Linked DNA regions of Drosophila melanogaster. The protein of the gene in region 1 interacts with the protein of each later gene in a pairwise test. Each region holds a gene or a part of one and is shown in the gene's direction. Other genes may lie near its edges.

Region 1 (3,757 bases):
AAATGTGTGTAGATTTTAAGGCTTTAATATGCAATAATAACTCGTAGCTTTAAAAAAGTAATGATACTATTTGATTGCCATGTTGAGAAGTTCAGACTATATCTGGGTTTTTCAGAACTTGTTTGGGCTTTAATATGCAATATATACTCTTAGCTATAACATCTTTGTAGAAAAAGCCTACAAAATCTCCTAAACTAAGCGAGGACTTATAAACTACGATAAGATACCAGATGGGTAACCCAGCCCCGGATTTATAGGGGAACATTAACCGTGGTCCAGGCCTGTTTGAAGTTCTTCTTCTGCGAGTGCTGCTTCTTTCTTAGACGCTTGGCGGTCTTCTTCTTCTTGAACCACGCAGGATAATTGCCGTACTGATCTTTGAGGGTCTTGCTGTTGAAAATGTGCTCCACGCCCGTGTTCTCGTTGGTCACCTTGACTTTCTCGCCCTTCTCCAGACTCTCCTGGTGCTCGTAGATCAATTCCTGCTCCTCCTTGGATTTGGCCTCCTGTTTTAGGAATACAATTTCTTCTTTAATAAGGATATAAAATACGTAACAAGAATGAAGGTAGTATCGCGATAAACTAAGCCGGTTTTTCGCATATTACATGCATACAATACATATAATACATTAGGTAAATTGGTATATTTGTAGGTGGGTATATCACATAACTAACCCTTTTGAGCTCCTTGGCGGTCTTAATTTCGACCACATCGCTTATATCCTTCATGATCTCATTTCCATCGGCATCTAGGAGTCCCAGAGTTTTCTTCAGTCGAATTAACTCCTTGGCTTCGTACCGCGCCTTCTTTATCTTATTCATTTCATCACGACGCTTTCTCGAGCGATTGTTTCTGCCCATTTCGGTAGTCGGATATTAAGTAATACCAGAAAAAGTCAAAGAAGTAAAGAAATTGCGTTCAATTTGCTAAAAACGTAAACACGTGTGTTTTTGCTAGAGCTGGAAAACTGCCCGATTTTTCTTCGATTTTTTTCAGCGGGCTCTTATCGATAGCGCAAATAAATTAATCGACCAGGGCTTATTTTTAGTTATTTAGCCGCCAAGATTAAAAATTGTTTTTTTTTTACTCTCGTTTTTTAAATAGTTTTATATACTTTCTATGTAAAAGACACTTATCTGTATAGAAATATGTGTCATATTATTTAATTACACCTTATGTCCTTATTTTCCCTAATATGCTGTAGCGCTGTTGTATCAATTATCAGGTACATAAATTTTTAAAAACCACAAAATATATTAAAACATATTAAATTCTAGTTTTTATGACTTTGCCTTTAATGCATATAAGTTATAACTTTTTTAAAAACCACAAATTAAGCTTTTGTGGCTTTTTTCCACTTCCATTTTCGTTTCCATTCATCTCTTTCTTCCCCTTTTCCACTCTGTATTTATTTACCTTTTGTTCTCTCTCCTTTTCAGTATATATATATTGCAATATGATTTTTGTATACAAACAAAATCAGCTGCTGAAGAGAAAATGAGAGGCTTGCCAAATACGAAAAGTAACTAAAATAGGAAATATAGTCGTTGTGAAATGCTCTACACCGACTAGATTTTTAATACACTAAATAGAATTTTATAAAAAATATATGATTGTACAAAATGCAATAGTTTTCTCTAATAGCTAAGACAATGCATATAATAGTTTGTTTAACAGTTTAAAAGAATTCGGCTTAAATGCACTTACTTTTTAAAGACCTTGATAAAAAGGTTTTCACAAAGAGATAGACTGTAAAAATGTCCTAGCTATTTAGCCAAAGTATAAGGTATTGTTAATGTACAATACAATGTGTTTACTTCAGTGACATAGCTGAGTTACTTTCGATTTGGATAGAGCATCCGAAGAGCCTCTCTTGCACATGCGCAGCAGCAGAAAGAGGCAGAAACAGGGTAAGTGTGTCGGGCTCAGCTGTAGAGCCACCAATACATGGGTAGCGCACCAACACCAGCGAACAGCAGAGGCACACAGATAGGGGGGCAACCAGCTTGGTTGGCCAGTTTGTAGACCTTCTGCCATCATTCGCTCGTCAGTCGTTGTTGCTAGCATACGTCACGGAGTTCCTGTAGCGCTGCTCTTCTCCGCACTCTCACCCCCGTCAGTTAAGCAAAAACGGAAGTAATCAGCACAAAAAACAATAAGCACGCCAATTAAAAAACATTTCGAAAACTGTGTAAAAAGCCTTGCTGGTGCAAATTATTGCAGAGAATACGGGTAGATTCCGACACCGATCGATCAATAAACTCCGCGCAGCAAGTAAGTGCAGTTTTAACCCCCCCAAAGAAAAAAAGCAGAAAAATACTGAAGCGGAAGTCCTTCTCCAAGGAAAGGACATTACACTCACACACGCACCAACACATGCTCAGATATGTTTCTCAAAAGTTCTGCTGCAAGCCGATTTACATGTACACACATCCCAAAGTGCAGCCCAGCGATACATACGAAAAAGCAGGAAAAAATTCTGATTGCACCTTCGCATCCAAAGAGTTCACACTTTTGCGGCTGTGTGAGTTTTCCTTGGCTTTCGGCCAGGCCAACAGTTTTCCATCTCCACATGCACTTACACACACACAAACACCGATTTTCCCCCAAATTGTATTTGGCTGCAAATCGGCCGAGTTTCTTGTTAAGGGGATTTCCATTCTGGGCATCTAATAGCCATAAATTTGACTTGCATCACGTTTTCAGCATTTTTAGCGATCGTTATCAGATCCGTGCCACATCTCAGATCTCTGGCATTTCCCAGCTGAGTGCACTGCTAAAAATTTGCCTAAAACCATCTAATGTAGAGCTTATTGGAATAATGAGTGTATAGAATTAAATGCTAACATAAAGCGTTCAGAATTTCTCATACTCTTTTTAGAAAAATTTCTCTCTGTGTTCAGACTTACATATTAGCTGCTGCACTTTGCCCCACGATCGAGTTATATATTTTTTTTTGTGCAATCATTGTGTGTTCATGGAGTGTCAACTGGTGATGGCAAGTGCAATGAATGTTTCGCTGATTAACATCTTAATTAGCCTTGCAATTATTTCCTCAACTATAATATTATGGCCAAAAAAAATCTCCTGGATGCCTGCCAACATTTGCTCAGATGTTGAGATCCGAGAGGCAAACGAAAATAGGGAGCATTTCGAGGAGAAACCTTGCCGCTCCACAGCCACAAAAGCAGGCCCAAAAACCCAAGTGAATCATGCGCCAAATGTGCAGAACAGGTCTTGCAGTTGCCATTGTCCATTGTCCATTTTTCGAGCTGAAGAGCTAAAAAAAAAACCTCTAAAGAACGGAAGGTGCTGGATCGAAACGGAGGGGTGGGGAGTAGGGGTCCAAAAACGAATGGGAAGAACCGTCGCGGATGATAAATCAAGTCTGGCCAGTTGTTTGTCTGTGGCAATGAAAGAAAAATTGAAAAACAAAAGCCACAGACAACAACATAAACAGCGAACAGCTGATGATGCTGCAGCAACGCGAACTCAGCCAAATGTGTATCTGGCAGATAAAGTCAGTTGGCTGCCCCGCTTCGATCGTGGCCAACAAATCTGGTCGCCTTAATTGGCCAAAAGGGTAACCGTAGTCACAGAAAGTCCAACCGATGCACAGGGAGAAAATGTGTTAGATAACAGAAGTATTTGAGTTCTATAATTCATAAGTCGATCATTTGTTTTTTTGAAAGTTATTCATTTTAAGTAAACCATACTTAGCTACTTAGCGACCCAATTCGGTGATTATTTATTTAT
Region 2 (3,757 bases), on another chromosome or scaffold:
GTTAACTAAACGCGGCACCTTGGCCGTGTGCATGGCTTCCAGACCCACAACATGGAATACCTATATATTAATGGAAAGGGAAAAAGTTAAAGAATGGGGAAAGTTTGAAGAGATCACTGCTGACTTACCCGGTTTACAGTGTTCTGGGTGCCCACCAGTCGAATGAATCTGACGGGTCGTGCTTCGAAGTATAAGTATTGCCAGGAGCGGCAGTGGTAGTCGCTGTAGTCGACCACGCGATCCCAATGCTGCTGGTCGCCGGACACCTCAACGTAGTAGGAGTACGCCCGGCTGTCTCTGTCCCAGAGCAGCATGCGAATGTGATTGATCATGCAGAACGTGCCCAATTCGACCACAATGCCCGCATCTTTGCTGTCCGTAATGCAGTGGCGCGTATACCCGTTCTCCATGTCATAGGTGGTCACATCTCCATCCAGCAGCGCGTCGCGACACTCTCCCTGGATGCAGCGCGACAAAAACGTCTCCGCGGCCACGTTTTCCTCCGGCCAGAGCGCCGCCCTGTAGGGCAGCGCCTTTGAAGTGCTGCGCTCGTCGATGGCGTCGAGAATCTTGTCGGGATCCAGGATGCCCGAGGGACGCACCACCTGCAGCAGATGCTCGAGGTTCATCAGTGGCAGGCGGACATAACTAACCACGGACTTGAAGTCCACGTTGCTATTGAAGCGGCTCCACTTCCACACGGCCAAAAAGATCTGCACCTCGGGGGCGAAGAAGCAGTCACGCCGTAGTACCTCCTCCAGCGATTCCTGTAAGCATTACATACTCTTAGTGCCAACTTTACCAATTGGTTGTGAACTTACCTTGGATAGCGTATTGAAGCTGTTGTGCAGCAGCAGGTCGCCGGCATTGCGATCCATGAACATTAGGCAAACCTCGGTGAGTTCCTCTAGATTGTATAGACGCGCCGCATCAAGAATCATGCAGACATTGTCCAAGGCCAGATACTGGCGTAAATAATTCGATATGGCCATCTCCAGATCCTGGAAACCATACTGATTGGCCATGCCCAGCACATCGATGGTGGAATCCTCGTCCAATGTGGACAGCAGCAGTGTGCCCGAGTAAATGTAGCGCAGCAGCACCTTGAACGCTTCCAGCGGCACCTCAAGCGGTATTTGGCGCTGTGTGGTCTCCGCCATGCCGCCGTACAGCAGCGCCCGGAAGTATTCGCTGCGTGCCGCGAGTATGACGCGGTGGGCGGGTATGCGCTCCTCCTCGACGATGAACTCCACGTCCGCGTACTGTTCGTTCATGCAGAGGCGCGCCATGTCCGCTGAGAAGCGATCGCCCAGATCGACCACGTCGGTGTAGTCCTGCTCCATGGCGCCCTTCTTGCCGCCGCCGGACATCTTATGGTGTCCCTGGCTGCTCATCCTTCTCTTTTTTGTTTTTCTTCCGTGCGATGTGTATTTATGTGTGTAAGCAGCCAGAGGGAACAGTTGACAATTAACGTTTCGTCTCGCCTGCTGCGTCAATCCATCGATGACAGTTAGTGATATCGATAATATCGATGGCACAATAGGGATTCTTCTATTGCGGCGAAAAACTGTTATATGTGCAGTGTGACCGTAGGTGTGTATACCATTTAACGCGTACAACAACCATATCGACAGCCGTCTGCTAGCGAGCACATGAACCACATGGTTGCATCCGATAACATTTAGCGAATACATGAACCAAATGGTGTCTGTCTAATATGCCACCACTATTAGCGCGTTTCGGGTTGGTGTCTCTGCGCGCTCACTGGTCACACACGGTCAGTCTAGCCACAGCAGTTAGCGAGTGCAGTCACCACAGTGCGAGTGCTTATCGATAAAACCAGCAAGTCATCGATTTTTAGACCGAAGCGCTCTGTCAACTGCTGCGCACGGTCACTCTACACAAGTATTTCGTACCGTTTGTACGAGAAAACAGAGAAGAGAAAAACACAAGCTCAGCAACGCATCGATATTCGGCACAGTCCCAAAAGCAAACGAAGTGATAGAAGCTGCGTTTCTTAGCCAATTACCTCTTCATTGCAATCATGAAGTTCCAATACAAGGAGGAGCACGCCTTCGAGAAGCGTCGCGCCGAGGGCGACAAGATCCGTCGCAAATATCCAGACCGTGTGCCCGTAAGTACTCAAAAATATATATATAAATGCATATAGGTATAAAGAGACGTGTGTGTGTGTGTATATATGCGTGCGAGTGTGTGTGTATGTGCGAGCTTCTGTGTATGCGTTTGTTTTGCGTCGTTTTTTTTCTCGCTCTTTTTTTTTGTGTTTGCACCGAAGAAAATCAATACTGCGCATATTGGGTATTTCGATTGTTATTACAATATTATTGCACTGGCACATCAGGTGGCTGGGGAAATTTGTGCGATGGGTATTGCATAAAGTGCATTTTGCATTACTGGTGGGGGGAACAGGCGACAAGCTCTCAAAAGAAATTCAAACGAAAATTCTGCCCCCTGCATACACACATACGCACGCATACACGCGCACACAGGCACACAGATGTCGACAGGAAAAAACAAAAGCAAAAAAAGGGAGAGAACAAAGCAGCCGTTTCACTTGCTCAGCTGTTGTGATGTTGTTGTTTTCAGTGCTAGATTTCATCTGTGCCACCTCTTCCTCTCCTCTATCCCACCCTCTGGCTACACAGCAAGAAAATCGCATATATCTATCTGTCATCATAATTTAGTTACAAGCAAAGTTTTGACCACCCCGTTTTTTTTCTGTGTGTGCACCAACCAGTTGTTTTCGATTTTAATTTCGTTTGTTTGTTGGCAAAACGAGCGAGTACTGCGCATAAAAAAAGTCACTAATACTCACTAATACACACTTATACTAGCGCTGCTTGTTTTGTTTTTCGCAAATACACAAAGTGCGACTGGAATTAGTCATAGATGCGCTGCTGAACACAAAACAAAAATAATAAAAAAAATGGAAAACAGAAAGGTTGAAAAAAACAAAAACATCTTCTGCTTCTTCTTTGTTGTTTTTCTGCTATGTATGTATGCATTTCACCACGTTATCAGCGAAAACTCCTTTCACAAAAACCAAAACAAAACCAAACGAAACGAAACGACAAACTGCTGAAGGTGCCCCAATCGCAGCGAAAAGTGCAGTTCTTGTTTTCGATTTTGATTCGGACTGCATATGCATATGTATATATGTACAAATATGTACATATGTGCGCTATATATGCACCCCCGAAATATTATTGCCAGTGTTATTTTAGTGTTTTTTTTTTTTGGCAAGTGCAGCAGTGCCAAATCACAAATCACATAACAGCTGAGCGAGGGGCAAGGCCAGCTGGTCGCTCGGACCACCAGCATATCCATATATATCCGAATTCTATAGAATATACTTAGTACATACATACGTACTAGCACATCTCATACTTGTGCCTTGAGTTCGGCCAATGACGATAACGAATTTCGATAGAACACTAGTGTATAGAGGGGTGGCATTCGCGACAAGCAGTTTTTGCCCATTTCGTATTCACTATGTTGGCACCCGCTTCCTGTTCCAAAAAAAAAAAATTGGACAAACCAGTTTGCCAATAATTTGGCTAAGGCTAACTAATGAGCCCCTGGCTAGAACGGATCGTCTAGTCTAGGCCAGCTAGCAATTATTCCAGAGCCAAGGAAATGCAGTAGATTCGTTACAAAGCTCACTTCAATGACCAACTTGGTCGTCTTGGTGATCAATTTGGCTAAAATGCTGTAAAATGTGTATGTGTTTTTGCAT
Region 3 (3,275 bases), on another chromosome or scaffold:
AATCCACTCTGACGACTCTTGCATTCCATTTAACTAATTCCCCTTTGAATGGCGGACACCAAGTTGGAGTAATTAAACCAGGCGGACACGATTAAGTGGGAGGAACGCCAAAGATTCTGGTCCAGTGAACGCAATGCTCTCATATTTGGACCCTAAAAAAAAACGGTTATGGTGTCGTTTTTAACGAATTATTGTTAATTGCCGCATTAACAACATGGTAAAACAAGTCAGTTTGAGTTTATTAGGCGCAAGTCGCAATATTGTTCATATAAATCAAATTAGAATGTTCTAGTTCAGTGGCCAGAAAAGCTTCAATTTTTACCTACCTACCTAATTGCTCTGTTATTTCTTATGCACTTTTCACGAGAAAAGGAGAAAACAGATACGCATTTGTTTTATAAATCAAATTAGCTTTTGCCAGTTGGCTGACCGCAAAAACTCGTGTGTGTGTGTCTCCAAGCCAACAAAGTGCATTTTAATTTGTTTTAAAATTGTATTTTGTGCGTTTAGAAAGCGCATGGCCGTTTCTATCTATCCAGTCAAAGAAATCTCTCTGATTTTTGAAGTCTATTAGCATGGACTTATTAGCAGGTATGCGGTAACCACATCACAAAATCCGTACGTTTCTATCGAATCTCAGATCATCTCACAAACGAATGGGCTCTGGACTGCACATTTCTAGGTGAGCTAAAGCAACACCATTAGGGCGATTACTTTTGCGGATTGTGGAATACAATTGGTGATTTGTTTCGCACCCGTGAGTTTAATTAGCAATTGCCGCACACAATCAGTACACAGGCACACATAGATTAGTTGCCCGTGTTTATGGCTAATCGCCACTAAAATCAAGAATCAATTTTGGGCAAAATGAAAATTGATAACTTTATGGCCTGGTTTTTCAGCAAACACACACAACACATCAAAGGAGAGATCGTGGGACTAACAATTTTTTCGACCATCACATGAGCGTATAAACTCTGAATTATAATGGATTTTCCGAAAGATTATTTCACACACACGCCTTTTTCTAACGAATCGAAAGGGTCCGTTCTTGGACATGTTGCTCACCGGAAGCGTAAATATCCCAGGTATTTTGCAGTTGTCTTCGTCCGAACTGAAGTGCACCTGTTGCAAGGGATTACGCCCAGGCCACAACCGGAAACCAGCGATGCACGAACTGCTCCAAGTAGTAGTACTGTGAAGTAGAACGACAAACTGAACTGCCGAGGCACCGAACGCGAACAACCGAGCAGCTCCAGCAGCTATGGCGGAATGAGAGCTCCAGCGCTGTCCGAGCGACGAGCAGCCAGCGACGACGGAGCCCAACAACACATCTGCTCCAGCTTTGCGTGTGTTGCGTGCATTGTTGCCGTTGCGGTCGGTACAGGTAAAAGCTTTCGCAGTTGTACGCCCCCAGCACATACACTTGTTGAGCTCCCTTGTGGTCAGCGCCTTGGGAGCCTTGATTGTAACGTCTTTGGGCCAATTGTCGCCTTGGGGCGGCCTGCAAAAAAAGGTTCATAGAGCGGTGCCAACTGCAGGGATTTATATAGTTTTTGTCGTATTACAAAATATTTAATTAAATCAATGAAAATATATAAAATAAATGCGCCAGTGAAGTATGGAATGGAAAGTTTCTAGCCCGAGGAGTCCTGCACAGCACATTCGTAGTGCGATTCCAAGGACACAATTACAATTAACAGTTTAAACGGTAATGGGATACTTCAAATTAATTAATTGGAGCGATGCATGAAAACGATACAAGAAATATGTGTGTAAGCACCATGAAAGCCCCTAGGGAAATTTGGCACTCATATATAAGTAGTTCTTCTTTAATTTAGAATTTCCAACAAATTTCGTATGTTCCTGATTGGTTAAAGGTATAGATATACTTTTCCATGAATAGGAATGAATACTAAACCTGATTACAATCACATTTTCCCTCTCCCATTTCCCATTCAAATCCGAGAAGAGCAGGCACTTTTCTATCTGCCAAAGCTATCTGTGCAGTAAAGGTGATAAATCATACATAGTTCCCAGCAACTCAGGCCGGCAGCTACATAAGACCTTCGTACCAAATCCAAAACGAAAACCCATTTTTCGCTCCGTTTCGATTCGAACCGTATTCCAGTCCGCCCAGATGGATATGAACTACCAGTACAAGAAGGACCACTCGTTCGACAAGCGCCGCAACGAAGGCGACAAGATCCGGCGCAAGTATCCGGACCGTGTGCCCGTCATCGTGGAAAAGGCGCCGAAGACGCGTTACGCGGAGCTGGACAAGAAGAAGTACCTGGTGCCGGCGGACCTGACAGTGGGCCAGTTCTACTTTCTCATCCGCAAGCGTATCAATCTGCGTCCCGACGACGCCCTCTTCTTCTTCGTAAACAATGTGATCCCACCGACATCGGCCACCATGGGTGCACTGTACCAGGAGCACTTCGACAAGGACTACTTCCTCTACATTTCCTATACCGATGAGAACGTCTATGGACGGCAGTAGACGCGGGCTTGACTCGCGTAATCGTTTTGGCGGTCGGTTGAGTTTCAATTGTCATTTTTTGCCATTGGCACTACTCGCTCAATAAAGAATGACTGCTCCTAGCCAGCTAACCAGAAGCAGACAACGTCGTCATCACATGGCACATGCTGGGCTAAACAATAATTATCGCAGTATGTGCTTCCCCCGCGTTGGAAGTGGGTGCATAGCATCCGCTAATCCCTTGCCCCTGGTCTTGCCGCAAAAAGTTAATTGAAGCGCTCGAAAAAACATTTAGTGGACTCACTGCTTCGGCTTAATTATAATTCACATATTCGATAGCCGTATGGTTTGCTTAAGTTCACTAATTGATGAAAATATGAGACATAAAACCAGTTTAAATCGGGCAAAAGTGTGCTCCAAAGGCGTGCAATAAGATTCAACAAGTTGGTTTATGTGTCGCATGAAGCCAAGTCCAATGTGGTGAGACAAACTTGTTGACACCGTGTCCATGGATTAGCGAAGGAAATTTTTATATCATAATTTCGAATTGATTTTATTTCTGTTTTATTCCGTCAGACACCCACCCACAACTTCCAAACCCTTTGATATACAGCTTTTGTTTATCAAACTAATCTACATGGGCTGTATTCTTCGAAAACTTCCAGATGGTTATATGGAAAAAGTAAATATAAATATATGGGTTCACAAATAAATTCGATCTCCCTCGCGTTTAAAAATTGGAAAGTTCAATAATCAAATTGATTATATTTCAAATGAAGAAGTTGTTCATTTG

Evidence for each region.
Region 2: the proteins of TP53INP (region 1) and Atg8a interact in a two-hybrid assay, tested with the Drosophila melanogaster proteins (2 studies listed by BioGRID).
Region 3: the proteins of TP53INP (region 1) and Atg8b interact in a two-hybrid assay, tested with the Drosophila melanogaster proteins (2 studies listed by BioGRID).

The regions. Positions count from the first base shown.
Region 1 is NT_037436.4:4,405,110-4,408,866, forward strand, and holds the start of TP53INP (tumor protein p53 inducible nuclear protein), read left to right. Parts: upstream 1-2,035; 5' UTR 2,036-2,275; intron 2,276-3,757. Other genes in the region: CG15019 (uncharacterized protein), read right to left, coding at 252-506, 676-861.
Region 2 is NC_004354.4:10,766,358-10,770,114, reverse strand, and holds the start of Atg8a (Autophagy-related 8a), read left to right. Parts: upstream 1-1,776; 5' UTR 1,777-2,044; coding exon 2,045-2,134; intron 2,135-2,808; exon of another isoform or gene 2,809-2,947; coding exon of another isoform or gene 2,948-2,962; intron 2,963-3,458; exon of another isoform or gene 3,459-3,737; coding exon of another isoform or gene 3,738-3,757. Other genes in the region: BTBD9 (BTB (POZ) domain containing 9), read right to left, coding at 1-60, 129-767, 822-1,394.
Region 3 is NT_033777.3:17,723,776-17,727,050, reverse strand, and holds Atg8b (Autophagy-related 8b), read left to right. Parts: upstream 1-1,987; 5' UTR 1,988-2,140; coding exon 2,141-2,503; 3' UTR 2,504-2,641; downstream 2,642-3,275.